Linked DNA regions of Anolis sagrei. The protein of the gene in region 2 interacts with the protein of the main gene of each other region in a pairwise test. Links are inferred from orthologs where the notes say so. Each region holds a gene or a part of one and is shown on either strand. Other genes may lie near its edges.

Region 1 (7,160 bases), on a different chromosome or scaffold from region 2:
TGTAATTGATTTCTTTGGAGGAAGGAAGGACAATTCAAGTCCCATAGGCCTCCATTCCAGGTTAAGGGCCTTCGGAGGAAGGAGGGAGGAAAGAAGAACGGAGCCATGATCTTCCATTTCTGTGTTGAGAAACTTGATTTGGTTTCCTTTCTCCTCGTCTCTGTGTGTATTTTTCGGTCATATTGACTTATTACTTATTTGTTTTGTTTTTGTACATAATTGTCATGCTGGTTTTTAAAGAGTTGTTTTTATTCTTTTAAAAAAATAATTTTTAAAAGGTCTTGGAAAAATGGGAGTATTGGTGAATATTGTGGTTGTTGTAACTTATGAAAGGTTTGCCTTGGAGCAAAGTGGAGCACAGTGACCTTTCTGGCTCCCTTTGCTTCTGTTGACGTCTGTGGCTTGATTTCTTTTGTAAATTGATTAAAAATTAATAAATTAAGCCTTGCTTTTGTTGTGATTCAATGTCAGGCAATGTCTGCTATATCTTTTGGATGGAGATTCCTTGCCCCTTTGAACTTTTGCTTTCCTAAGCAACCGAGATGCCATATAACATTATTTATTTATTTACAGTATTTATATTCCGCCCTTCTCACCCCGAAGGGGACTCAGGGCAGATCACAGAACACATATACAACAAAAATTCAATGCCGCTATACTCTGACAGCACAGACACAGTGCACAGATAGAGGTATCTAGGCTTTTCCCCATCTTTGGCATCTTGGGGGTTGTGCTTGATTCCGGCTGCGGGGGAGGGGGGCGGTGATGTCACTCCATCCTTCATGCCGAAGAGCCCTGGTCACAGACTTGCTTCTTTTGGTCAATCGCTGGCATTTTTTCTGGTATTCCTTATGGTGCCATTGAAATACCTCTCCGCGTTAGCAGTACCTATTTATCTACTCAGTTGTTTTTGATATGCTAGGTGGGCAGTGAGCTGGGCTGAAGGTCGGGCACTCACCCCAGACCCGGGCTTTGAACTGCCAACCTTTTGATTGGCAAGATTTATTGCAGCTGGTGGTTAACCTGTTGTGCTATTATTATTGGAGAGTCCATATAACTCAGAGGAAACATGCCTAGGATGATGATGATGATGATAGATTCCATTATTATTATTATAGCCTCCATATGGCCATGTTCTAGAGGCATTATTATTATTATTATTATTATTATTATTATTTTTTTTTTTCAGAGGAACCATGCATATGATGATGATGATACATTCCATCATCATTATTATTAGGGATTCCATACAATTCAGAGAAAAAGTGCCTAGGTGCATAGTAGTAGTAGTAGTAGTAGTAATAATAATAATAATAATAATACACCATATAATTTAGAGGAAACATGCCTAAGAACATAATACTAAAATAATAATTATTTCCATATTATTATTATTATTATTATTATGACCATACAACTCAGAGGAAACATGCATGGGATGATTATGAGAGTAAGGTAAAGGTAAAGGTAAAGGTAGTACCCTGACATTAAGTCCAATCATGTCTGACTCTGGGGTGTGGTGCTCATCTCCATTTCTAAGCCGAAGAGCCAGCGTTGTCCGTAGACACCTCCAAGGTCATGTAGCCGGCATGACTGCATGGAGCGCCGTTACCTTCCCGCCAGAGCGGTACCTATTAATCTACTCACATTTGCATGTTTTCGAACTGCTAGGTTGGCAGAAGCTAGGGCTGACAGCGGAAGCTCACGCCGCTCCCCGGAATCGAACCTGCGACCTTTCGATCAACAAGCTCAGCAGCTCAGTGCTTTAACCCACTGCGCCACCGGGGGCTCCACGATTATGAGAGTAATGATAATAAATTCCATTATTATTATTATTATTATTATTATTATTATTGACTCCATATAATTAAGAGGAAACATGCCTAGGAACACAATAAAATTATTATTTCATTATTATTATTATTATTATTATTATTATTATAGACCATACAACTCAGAGGAAACGTGTAGGATGATGATGATGATGATGATGATGATAGTAATAACCGATTCCATTATTATTGTCTCCATATAATTCAGAGGAAACATGCCAAGGACAATACTACCACTACTACTACTACTACTACTACTAATAATAATAATGTGTTTAAGCTTCTTTGGTTTTCTTGATCATCTGCAATAAAAAGGGATTCCAAGCTCTGCAATTGTTGTTATTGCTATGTTCCTAAGCTTATTTCCTCTTGAGCATCCAACCATAATTGCAATAATATAATGTGAAGAGCTTGGGATTGCAAATGGGCAATGAAAAGGGAGACCTAATAATAATAATAATAATAATAATAATAATAATATGGAAATAATAATGTAGACTCTGCAAGGAAGCAGATGAAACAATAGATCGTATCCTCAGCTGCTGCAAGATCGCGCAGACAGACTACAAGCAGAGGCATAACACTGTTGCTCAGATGATTAATTGGAACTTGTGCCACAAATACCATCTGCCTGCGACAAAGAACTGGTGGGACCACAAGCCTGAAAAAGTTACAGAAAATGAACACGTCAAACTACTCTGGGACTTCCGAATTCATACTGACAAGAGTTTTGGAGCACACGATCCTGACCTCACGATCGTGTTAAAAAACAAAGTGGATTGCCAATGTTGCAATCTCAGGCGACAGCAGGATTGAAGAGAAACAACTGGAAAAGCCGACACGATATGAGGATTTAAAGATCAAACTGCAAAGACTGTGGCACAAGCCAGTCAAGGTGGTCCCACTGGTGATTGGCACACTGGGTGCATTGCCTAAAGACCTTGTCCTGCACTTAAACACAATCGGCACCGAGAAGATTACCAGCTGCAAAAGGCCAGAGTCTATCTCTTATCCCCTCTCTCTACCCTTTCCCCTCTCCTCTCTTTCTCTGGTTTTCTTCCCTTTGCAACAGTGTTTTTCTATACAATGTTTTATGTCCTTTTAAAAGCATAATAAAAATTTATATATATATATAAAAAGGCCAGCGTGAGAAAAGCGCAGGCAAGCTGGCTCTCACTGGGATCTGCATGCATTATTTGCTGATACATTATTTGCTTTTAAACAGAGGCTGGATGGCCATCTATCAGGGGTGCTTTCAATACAATATTCCTGCTTCTTGGCAGAGGGTTGGACTGGATGGCCCACGAGGTCTCTTCCAATTCTATGATTCTACATCACACAGTCCTAGACACTTGGGAAATGTCTGACATGTGATCCAATACAACAGCCAGCAGAGTGATCTTGTTTGCTGTGGACTCATCTTGTTGTGTTTCAAATAAAATAATAATAATTCTGCTCCTAGGCATATTTCCTCTGAGATAAGGAGTTTCTAATAACATACACATTTCTATATATGATCTGCAAAGTCTTCCATTGAGTTCCAGAGACTTGGAATATAATCCCTTTCTATATAAAAAAAAGGCCAGAGCTCCATCTAGCGGAAATGAAAAGAGAGCCTCCATTCTTCCCAATGATTTGGAAGGGTTTTGACAGTTTTAATAGAAAAAGGGGCCTCCAAGGGCCATCTTGTCCCGCCCTATGGGGTTTGAATGGGAAAGGGACTTCCGAGGGCAATCTAGTCCAACCGTGGAGGCCCTAGACTCCTCCCTCCTCCATTTTCCCGCCTTTTCTTCTCCCAACCGCCATTAACGCTCGCAGTCCGTTTCCCCGCCCCTTCCGCCTTCTCATTGGCCCGTGTCCTTTTCGCGCCCACTCCAGGAGTCCTGATAAGCCCAGAGCGCCTGCCAATCATCCAAAAGAAGCACACTTAAAAAAACCCCCAACGGCTAATGTTGCGCTCTCTTCTCATTGGCCCTCCCCTTTAGTTTCCACGCCCCCTTCGCACTTCCATTGGTTGGCGCCCACCCCAGGGGTCCTGATAGGTCGGGAGCTCCTGTCATTTGTCCAAAAGAATCACAACCCCCCCAACGGTGAACATTGTGCTTCCTTCTCATTGGCTGTCCTCTTTCGTTTTCCCGCCTTCTCCACCCTCTCATTGGATGCCGTCGTGGCGCGGCCCTTGATAGGCCGAGAGCGCTGCCTTTCAATCTTTGCGCTGGCCCTGAGTGCGCATGCTCCCTCTTACTGGCAGCGGGCCCCGCCCTCCGCCTACTTCGGAGCCTGTCAGAGGGATCGGCCCGCTTCGGCCAGGCCTCGTCGGGCCAGCCTTGCCGCCTCGCTCTCCGCGAACGCCGATTGGAAGCGCAGCCAGCGAGGAAGAGCAGAGCAGAGCAGAGCAGGCGCTGCCATGGGGACCCGCGACGACGAGTACGACTACCTCTTCAAAGGTAGGAGGCGAGGGTCTGCGCTTGGGCTGGGCCCGCCCCCTGCCTTTGGGGGGAGGGGCCAAGGGGCGGGGCTTTGCGGAAACCTCCCCTCGGCTCCAGAGTGGGAGGGAACGAGAGCCGAGGGATTTCATAGCAAGGAGGAGGCGGGGCTTCTGGGGTGCCAGGTGGGAGGGGCTTAGGAAGGCTGGGACCGCCCCCTTCCTTGGCGGCCGGGCTTGTGGGGGGACTTTTTCTTGCTTCACAGTGGAAGGGACCTCGATCTAAGGGGGGTTGCGAGGCGGAGCTTGCCTTGAGGACCTCTTCCTTGGCCTCCGAGAGGGAGGAAGGGGCTGAAGAAGGGTCACTGGAGGCGAGGCTTCTTCTGGGACCTCCCCCTGGCTCGAGAGTGGGCGGGGCCTAGAGCTGAGGGAGAGAGGGAGGGAGGTGGTGGGGTTTGTTCTGGGACCTCCTCCTCGGGCCCAAAGTGGGAGGGAGGGGCTTAGGGAGGGGTAACGGGGCGGGGTTTGTTTTGGGGCCTCCCCTTGGCCCAAAGTGGGAGGGAGGGGCTTAGGAACCGTGAATGGGGCGGGGCTAGTTCTGGCACCTCCTCTTTGGCTCCAGAGTGGGAGGAGCCTAGATCTGTGGGAGGAGGCGGAGCTTGTTCTGGGACCTTTTCCTTCCTCTAAAGAAGAAGGGGCTTAGGAAGGGGGAATGGGGTGGGGTTTGTTCTGGGACCTCCCCCCTTGGTCCCAGAGTGAGAGAAGGGCTTAGAAAATGTAGAATGGGGTGGGGCTTGTTCTGGGACCTCCCCTTGGCTCTAGCATGGGTGGAGTCTAGATCTGGCTTATAATAATAGTTGTTATTTATAATATATATTTGTATATATATACACATACACACACAAATGTAATAATTTATTATTATTATTATTATTATTATTATTATTATGTCCTCCAACTGCCATCCTCTTTCTTTGATTGGCTCATGCAACCAAGGCATTAGGTCAACATGTTTTCCTTGGATCCTTTGCTGTTGTTTTCTTCTTGTAGAACCACCCAAGTTGCAGGTTTCCCATTCTCTTTTAATAGTGCATCAAAGGCCATGTTTGCTTCGGGGCCTAACCTTTCTCAAACAATGGAATAGGACTAGGGAATACAAGAGCAGCACAGCTGCTGTCGGTGGCAACTGACCAAGCTTCATCGTTCCTATGGAAGAACTATCAAGTTTGCTGGGTTTCTGAAAGGTGAAATGTCAACGACAAGAAGCAGTTGTTGTTATTATTGTGGGACTTGGAGGAAGTGTATGAAAGCCATTGTGGTGTTTCAGGATCCTGCCTCTCTGCTGGTGTTTTATGAGTGCAGTGCAAAGTTATGTATAAAGAACGCTAAGAGATAACAGACCAAGGGACACCCAATGAATGAAACTTAACAGTGAATCAAACACTGAGTAAAGCATGGTTCTTTCTTTGCAGGGAAATGCCTGAACCTATTATTATTATTATTATTATTATTAAAATCATGAGATATGGTGTCTGAGGCATTATATCATGACTTTTTAGGCCTGAGCAAAGTCGTATCAATGCCCTACGAACCTCAGTCCAAAGCCATATCTATGCTCTACAAACCCAATGTATAGTCTCTCTAATATATAGTGCCTTCGGCATTCTATTAGATATACGGTGTGCTGGGTTTGTAAGGCATTGATATCACTACAAACCCAATGCATAGTTTCTTTAATATATGATGCCTTTGGCATTCTTTTAGATACACAAGACGCTGGGTTAATAGGGCACTGGTTTCACTACAAACCCAGTGTATAGTCTCTCTAATAAATGGTGTCTTTGGCTTTCTATTAGATATACAATATGCCAGGTTTGTAGGGCATTAATATAACTACAAACCTAATGTATAGTCTCTATAATTTATTGTGTCTTTAGCATTCTATTAGATACACAAGATGCTGGGTTTGTAGGGCATAGATATAATTTTGTGTTGTCGAAGGCTTTCAGGGCTGGAATCACTGGGCTGCTGTGAGTTTTTCAGGCTATATGCATCCTTTCCTGACATTTCACCTGCATCTGTGACTACCGGCATCTTCAGAGATTCTGTTGGAAGTGAAGCAAGTGGAGCATATTTCTCTGTGGAATAATGTCCAGGGTGGGAAAAAGAACCCTTGTCTGTGTAAAGCAAGTGTGCATGATGCGATTAGCAAGCTTGAATAGCTTTGAGGAGCCTTGCAGCTGTAAAGTCAATCAATGGGTGTATTTGCATAGAGGGGGGCTGGCTGTTCTTGCCTAGAGGCATCCTTTGTTTGGGAGGTGCTCAATGGCACTTGGTTGTTTGCTATCTGGAATGCCTTGTTTCTTTATTTACTGTCTTGATTCTGGTGTGTTTTGACCCCATGAAAATGAACAAAATCTGGTTACCAGTATTAAAGAAAACACCAGAATCAAGACAGTAAATAAGGAATAACACTCAGAAACAGGAGAGTTCTAGACAGCAGACAACCAAGTGCCAGTTAACACTTCCCAATCAGAGGGTACTCCTAGGCACAGCAACCAGGCTACCTCTATGCAGATTCCCTCACTGATTGACTTCATGGCTACTCAATGCTGTTCAGTTGCAACATTCACACTTGCTTCAAAAAGGCTTGGGAACCAGGGGAATGAGACACCATTACAGTGGAAAGGTGCCTTCCTTTGAGATCCAGGGGTCCCGACCGCAGAGGTGCCCTGCTTCCCTCCCTCCTTCCTTATTTCCTTCCTCCCTGCAGTGGTGCTGATTGGAGACTCCGGGGTAGGAAAGAGCAACCTCTTGTCTCGCTTCACTCGCAACGAGTTCAACCTGGAGAGCAAGAGCACCATCGGGGTGGAGTTCGCCACCCGCAGCATCCAAGTGGATGG
Region 2 (7,301 bases):
TATTTACATTAAAATTCATAACAACAGCAAAATTACAATTCTGAAGTAGCAATGAAAATAATTTTATGTTTGGGGACTACCACAATTTTAGGAACTATATTAAAGGCCCATGATATTAGGAAGGTTGAGGACCACTGGTCTGGTCCTACAAAGACACACTAACTTCACACAGTTGAAGTTAGGAAACATATAAACTTGTATCATTGCATCAAAAATGAATCCTACAGAGTAACAAACTTACATATTTATTTATTTTGCATATTTGTATCCTATCCTCACTCTCGAGGGGGGAGTCCGGGCAGCTTCACAACAGGCAGCCATTCAATGCCATCACTCTAACTTACAAAAAAAGAGTTATAATTAAAATAATTTGTTAAAAACAATTATTGACACATTTATTTAAAATCACACAAGTACAACATCACAATCCAGGTCAATCATAATCAAGGTCATAGTCCTTGTATCCATCACAAAACACAGCATGGCTTCTCCAACTCCCAAAATAGAGAGCCAACATGTATCCTAAAATACACCCAGTTATACTCTTACCGGGTGTGGTCCAAACCTCCTGACCTTAATTAGCACCTGCATACAGTGATCACCAGCATGAGGAAGAAACCAGGCACAGATTAACAACTCCCAGCAACAGATTTTCCCAGACTCAGGCAGGCCTTCAAATGCTAATGAAGGTGATTAGCTAACATTCACACCTAACTGCAGCAGGGAAGAGCTCCCTGCCCCACCCCAACCATTCCACAGATATATAAACCCATTGTACTAATTGCAACCAGACCCTCTGAGGATGCTTGCCATAGATGCAGGCGAAACGTCAGGAGAAATGCCTCTAGAACATGGCCATATAGCCCGAAAAAACCCACAAGAACTGAATGAGTTTTTTTCCTTAACACATATATCTATTCCAACCTTGGTACTGATCCTTTCAAAACTCACCCCGTTTTCAGTATACCTTAATATGTTCTAATCAATTTTTTTTAGACTGTTGGTGTGCTACCAATGTTCATGCTTCCATCCTCAGAGTCTAATCCATGTTTTTGTTTGAAATGTTCAGCATAGAAGTTAAACAGATAGGCCGATAGGTCTATTAATGGCTATTAAGTATGATTGCATAATGAACCTCTATATTTAAAGACACTGTACCTCTCAAGTGAGAAGCATGACTCAAAGGCAAGCTTGTTGGAGACCTCCTGGTGACCAATGTTGGAAGCATGATGCTTGGTTAGATGGAATTTTGGTCTAATCCATTTTGTTATATTTTAGGCGGCTTTTCCTAACATAGGTTGAGCTACCATACCAACCTGCTACATTCTGGGTTGTCAGTGGGCCTACTGAGTAAGAGATGATGGAAACTAGCCCAGCACAAATACTAGCCAGATTTCCAAATATTGTTCAATGTCAGGATTACTGAAGGTATGCATGTATGGTTTTTAAATGTGTTTCTATATGATTAAGAATGGTGTTAATATGTATTCAAGATGGATTCTGTTATGTTCAATTATGTGTTGGAATTGTTGTTGTAAGAGACAGAGAGGTACAGAGAGAAGAGACCTTGACAGAAGTTAGATAACATGTTTCTCTGCTGGGAAGAAAAAGGGAGTTTCCAGCTTACAGCCAGAGAGCCTGATAAGCAGATGTTCCGAGACTGTACTGAAGCTGTGCTTTGTAGTTCCTGATTTTGCCCGCTTAGATGTAGACGTGTATTGAAATGTACTTAGCAAACTTTGTTATTTTAAAACTGGAAAACTGCAGAGTCCTGGAATTTTTGGAGTCCTGTGTCTGTTTGATCTAGCACCTCTTCCGCTGCGCATACACCCCCCAAATTTTAACTCTGATAGTTCAGAGGCATCATGATGAACAGGGGCAGTTTTGTGCCTAGGTGTAACGTCCTGTAGTTGATGGTAGTTGGCGTCATGCATAGCAGTTGGTGATGGGTAAAAGAAGATGATGACTGCTGCAAAGGGATAGAAGGGGTTAATCTCAGTCCTGCGTTCTAAAGGTCAGAGTAATCTATCTGTAAGAACTCACAAGCGGCTGAAATCCAAACAGCTGGTAAAATGCAACTTAAGAAGGCACCTTCAGAACCTCTATTGTTTGTAACTTGGGGACTGCCTGGGTAAGTAGCAACACTGATCCCTGGTTAAGTCGACCCACTCCCCCTGAAGACGCAGGTTCGCAGCTTGGGTGTGATCTTGGACTCATCGCTGAGCCTGGAACCCCAGGTTTCAGCGGTGACGAGGGGAGCATTCGCACAGTTAAAACTAGTGCGCCAGCTGCGCCTGTACCTTAGGAAGCCTGACTTGGCCACGGTAGTCCATGCTCTAGTCACATCCCGTTTAGACTACTGCAACGCTCTCTACGTGGGGTTGCCTCTGAAGACTGCTTGGAAGCTTCAAATGGTCCAACGATCAGCAGCCAGGATGCTAACAGGAGCGGCACTCAGGGAGCACACCACTCCACTGCTTCGCCAGCTCCACTGGCTGCCAATTTGCTACTGGGCACAATTCAAAGTGCTGGCTTTAGCCTTTAAAGCCCTAAACGGTTCTGGCCCGACCTACGTGTCTGAATGCGTCTCCTCCTATGAACCAGTTAGGACATTAAGATCGTCTGGGGAGGCCCTGCTCTCGATCCCGCCGGCTTCACAAGCATGCCTGGCGGGGATGAGAGACAGGGCCTTCTCAGTGGTGGCCCCTCGGCTATGGAACGCCCTTCCTGCAGATATTAGATCGACCCCCTCCTTGCTGGCATTACGGAGGAAAGTAAAGACCTGGCTGTTTGAACAGGCATTCGACTAAGCAGTGTGATTGATTGACTATCGGAACACGGAATATCGGATAACGGGTTTGGATTCTGATTTCATTGATGAGACCTGATGGATTTGTTATATTGATGTAGTGATATATTGATGCTTAATGATTTGTGATGCTATTGCTTTTAAATGCTTAATGATTTTGTATTGTGTATACCTAAATTGTTGTAAACCGCTCTGAGTCGCCTAAGGGCTGAGAAGAGCGGTATACAAATAAAGTAAATAAATAAATAAATAAATTTTGGGCCATTCTGAAAGGACAATTTCTGGAGACACATACAGGGATTTCTTTGCTGCCTCCAGGTGTTGCTTGCCTCCTTTGCAATTCCTCCAGGGAGGGATCCTATTGGCTGTTCATTCGTTCAGTCGTCTCCGACTCTTTGTGACCTCATGGACCAGCCCACGGCAGAGCTCCCTGTCGGCCGTCACCACCCCCAGCTCCTTCAAGGTCAGTCCAGTCACTTCAAGGATGCCATCCATCCATCTTGCTCTTGGTCGGCCCCTCTTCCTTTTCCCTTCCACTTTCCCCAGCATAATTGTCTTCTCTAGGCTTTGCTGTCTCCTCATGATGTGGCCAAAGTACTTCAACTTTGTCTCTAGTATCCTTCCCTCCAGTGAGCAGTCGGGCTTTATTTCCTGGAGGATGGACTGGTTGGATCTTCTCGCAGTCCAAGGCACTCTCAGCACTTTCCTCCAACACCACAGCTCAAAAGCATCGATCTTCCTTCGCTCAGCCTTCCCTAAGGTCCAGCTCTCACATCCGTAGGTGACTACAGGGAATACCATGGCTTTGACTAGGCGGGTCTTTGTTGCCAGTCTGATGTCTCTACTCTTCACTATTTTATCGAGATTGGACATTGCTCTCCTCCCAAGAAGTAAGCGTCTTCTGATTTCCTGGCCACAGTCTGCATCTGCAGTCATCTTTGCACCTAGAAATACAAAGTCTGTCACGGCCTCCACATTTTCTCCCTCTATTTTCCAGTTGTCAATCATTCTTGTTGCCATAATCTTGTTTTTTTTTTTTTGATGTTTAGCTGCAACCCGGCTTTTGCGCTTTCTTCTTTCACCTTGATTAGAAGGCTCCTCAGCTCCTCCTCGCTTTCGGCCATCAGAGTGATGTCATCTGCATATCTGAGATTGTTAATGTTTCTTCCAGCAATTTTCACCCCAGCTTTGCATTCATCCAGCCCCACACATCGCATGATGTGTTCTGCATACAAGTTAAAAAGGTTGGGTGAGAGGATGCAGCCTTGCCAGACGCCTTTCCCAATCTTGAACCAGTCTGTTGTTCCGTGGTCAGTTCAGTCCTATTGGCTACAGCCCAAAAAGTATATATAATTTCTCCAAACTTGGAATTTGCTGCGGGGTTCCCTTTGGAGGGAAGGAGAGAGGGAGGGAAGTTTCCTCGTCCAGCAGAGGGCGAAGCCAGCCTTGCTTCCTTCCTCCCTTCCTTCCTGAAGCCAAAGGCAGCCGGTGCGCCAAAGGAGCCGAGGCACCTGCAAAGCCCGGCAAACCAGGCGGGGAGGGAGCGCCCCATTGCGCACGCTTGCTTCCCTACCTGCCTTCCCTTTTACCTGGCGAGGGAGCGGCCAGGCAGCCCCGCCCCGTCCCTCCCCCTTCCGCTTCTCCCTCCCTTTGCCTTTCGTCCAGTAAGTTTTCCCCGGGAGACGGGCAAAGGTCGGGCGCTTCCCTCCGGCTTTGCACCGCCCGGCTCTCTCCTCTCCTCTCTCTTTTCCTCTCCTCTCCTCTGCCCAAGCGCCGCACTTCCTGGGCTCTTCCTCCTCCTCCTCCTCCTCCTTCTCCCGGGCCGGACTTTGGATTGTACCGAAGGGCTTTTCCTCCTCTTTTTGGGGCGCCTTTTTTGGATGCTTCGAGGACTGGGCTCGCCTTGCGCACCGCCCGCCAGGAGGACATGTCGGTGGCGGAGCTCTACACCAAGGTAAGGCCAAGGCCAGGCGTTTGGGGGATAGATACGTGTAGGGCAGCCTTTCCCCTTCCCATTCCCCCCCTCTGTGGGTTTCCCAGGGCTATTTGGGGGGCCTGGGAGCCCTTCTTTCCATGCCCCCCCTCCCCTTCCCGGCACCGCCGCAGATGGAGTTCCCTCCACTCTCCACTACTTTCTTTCTCTGCGCCTCACTTTTACGCTTTGCTTTGGACTTCAAGACAAGGTGCATCCACACTGTAGGGTTAATGCAGTTTGGCACCACTTGAACTCCCATGCCTCGAGACAGTGGGAGCCTGGGAGCTGCAGTTTTACAAGGTCTTCTCTGCCAAAGAGTGCAAGTGCCCCCCTAACTAAACTGCAACCTCCAGGATCCCCATAACATTCAGCCTTTCTCTGCTCAAGAGTGCAGGTGCTTCACTGACTGAACTCCAGGATCCCATAACAGGGAAAGAGGTGCCAAACTCCATTCATTCTGCAGTGTAGATGTGCTCCCAGTGTTCGTGAGGATCTCCGGATTCCTTTCAATGGGGATACAGAGTGAGGATCCCTTATCTGAAATGTTTAGAGCCAGAAGTGTCTTGGATTTTGGGATATTTTCATATCTATATAAATAAAAATGTAATGTTTGTTTGTGGGATTAGCAGAACTCAAAAACCGCTGGGCGAATTCACACCAAATTTGGACACAAGACACCTAACAACCCAATGTATGTCCTTCACTCAAAAAAAATTGATTTTGTCATTTGGGAGTTGTAGTTGCTGGGAATTATAGTTCACCTACAATCAAAGAGCATTCTGAACCCCAGCAACGATGGAATTGAACCAAACTTGGCACACAGTTCTCCCATTACAAACAGAAAATACTGGAAGGGTTTGGTGGGCAGTGTCCTTTGGTTTTGGAGTTGTAGTTCACCTAGATCCAGAGAACACTGTGGACTCAAACAGTGATGGATCTGGACCAAACTAGGCACGAATACTCAATATGCCCAAATGTGAACACTGGCAGAGTTTGGGGAAAATAGAATCTTGAGATTTGGGAGTTGTAGTTGCTGGGATTTGTAGTTCACCAACAATCACAGAGTATTCTGAACCCCACCAATGATAGAATTGGGCCTAACCTCCCACACAGAATCCCCATGACCACCAGAGTGGGCCACAGCAACGCGTGGCAGGGGACGGCTAGTATATAAATAAAAATGTAATGTATGTTTGTGGGATTAACATAACTCAAAAACCACTGGACGAATTGCCGCCAAATTTGGCCACAAGACACCTACTAACCCAAGGAGTGACCATCACTCAAAAATTGATTTTGTCATTTGGGAGTTGTAGTTTATTTATTTATTTACGACATTTATATGACGGCCTTCTCACCCCGAAGGGGACTCAGAGTGGCTTACAAGTAAAAAGTAAATACAATATATTATTATCATAGCACTATATTAATATTATATATTACATTGTGCTATAACATTATCCTGTAATATTATTAGTAATATTTATCGCAGAATAGTTGCGATGATTTATAGTTTACTTAAACAGTATTTCTTAAAATCAAAGAGCATTCTGAACTCCACCAAAGATGGAATTGAACCAAACTTGGCACACAGGACTCCCAGGACCAACAAAAACACTAGCAGGGTTTGGTGGACATTGACCTTGAGTTTGAGAGTGGTAGTTCACCCCTACATTCAGAGAGCACTGTGGACTCAAACAATGATGGATCTGCACCAAACTTGGCACGAATATTCCATATGCCCAAATATGAACACAGATGGAGTTTGGGAGAAATAGACTTTAACATTTAGGAGTTGTAGTTACTGGGATTTATAGTTCACCTACAATCAAAGAGCCCTCTTCACCAGGGCAAGAAAACGTAATCAAAGCCCTCCTGACAAAGAGCCACCCAGCCATAGATATAGATAGATATATATGATTCACACACAGGGAGATATAGTATCATAGATTTGAAAGGGACCCTAAAGAAAGACAATTATGTTGCATGTTCCAGAGTAGGCAAACCAGATACTCTCCACATCAACACTGACAAAGAAACAGGAAGAAATACTGTTTACCCACAAGCAGAAAGAAATTACATATATTAGAAACCAACACTTTCGAATTACTTTATTTTCCAGATCACCAGACTGGGCCACAGCAATGCGTGGCAGGGGACGGCTAGTCTATATAAATAAAAAGGTAATATTGGTTGATGGGATCAATATAACTCAAAAACCACTGGACAAATTGACACCAAATTTGGGCACAATACACATATCAGGGCAATGAGTGACCATCACTCATAAAAATACAGGAAAACACAGTAAAAGGGACTAAAAAAGCCAAAAAAAGCAAAAAGAAGCTACAGTGCATGTACAAAATGACTCCCCCTGGCAAACAAACACACAATAGCATATCCACATTCTCTTCTGGACTACAGTTCCCAGCATCTCCTAGACCAGGCCATTTAGGAGAGGAGGAGGATCCAAATGCCCTTTACATTTTTATTTATATACTAGCCGTCCCCTGCCAC

What was found.
Region 1: the proteins of MYO5B (region 2) and RAB11B interact in binary tests that used the Homo sapiens proteins (3 or more experiments, as listed by UniProt). The link is inferred for Anolis sagrei from reciprocal best matches to the Homo sapiens genes MYO5B and RAB11B.

The regions. Positions count from the first base shown.
Region 1 is NC_090034.1:29,324,523-29,331,682, reverse strand, and holds the start of RAB11B (ras-related protein Rab-11B), read left to right. Parts: upstream 1-4,063; 5' UTR 4,064-4,239; coding exon 4,240-4,279; intron 4,280-7,030; coding exon 7,031-7,160. UniProt on the Homo sapiens protein: The small GTPases Rab are key regulators of intracellular membrane trafficking, from the formation of transport vesicles to their fusion with membranes.
Region 2 is NC_090022.1:287,337,733-287,345,033, forward strand, and holds the start of MYO5B (unconventional myosin-Vb), read left to right. Parts: upstream 1-4,267; 5' UTR 4,268-4,736; coding exon 4,737-4,763; intron 4,764-7,301. UniProt on the Homo sapiens protein: May be involved in vesicular trafficking via its association with the CART complex. The CART complex is necessary for efficient transferrin receptor recycling but not for EGFR degradation.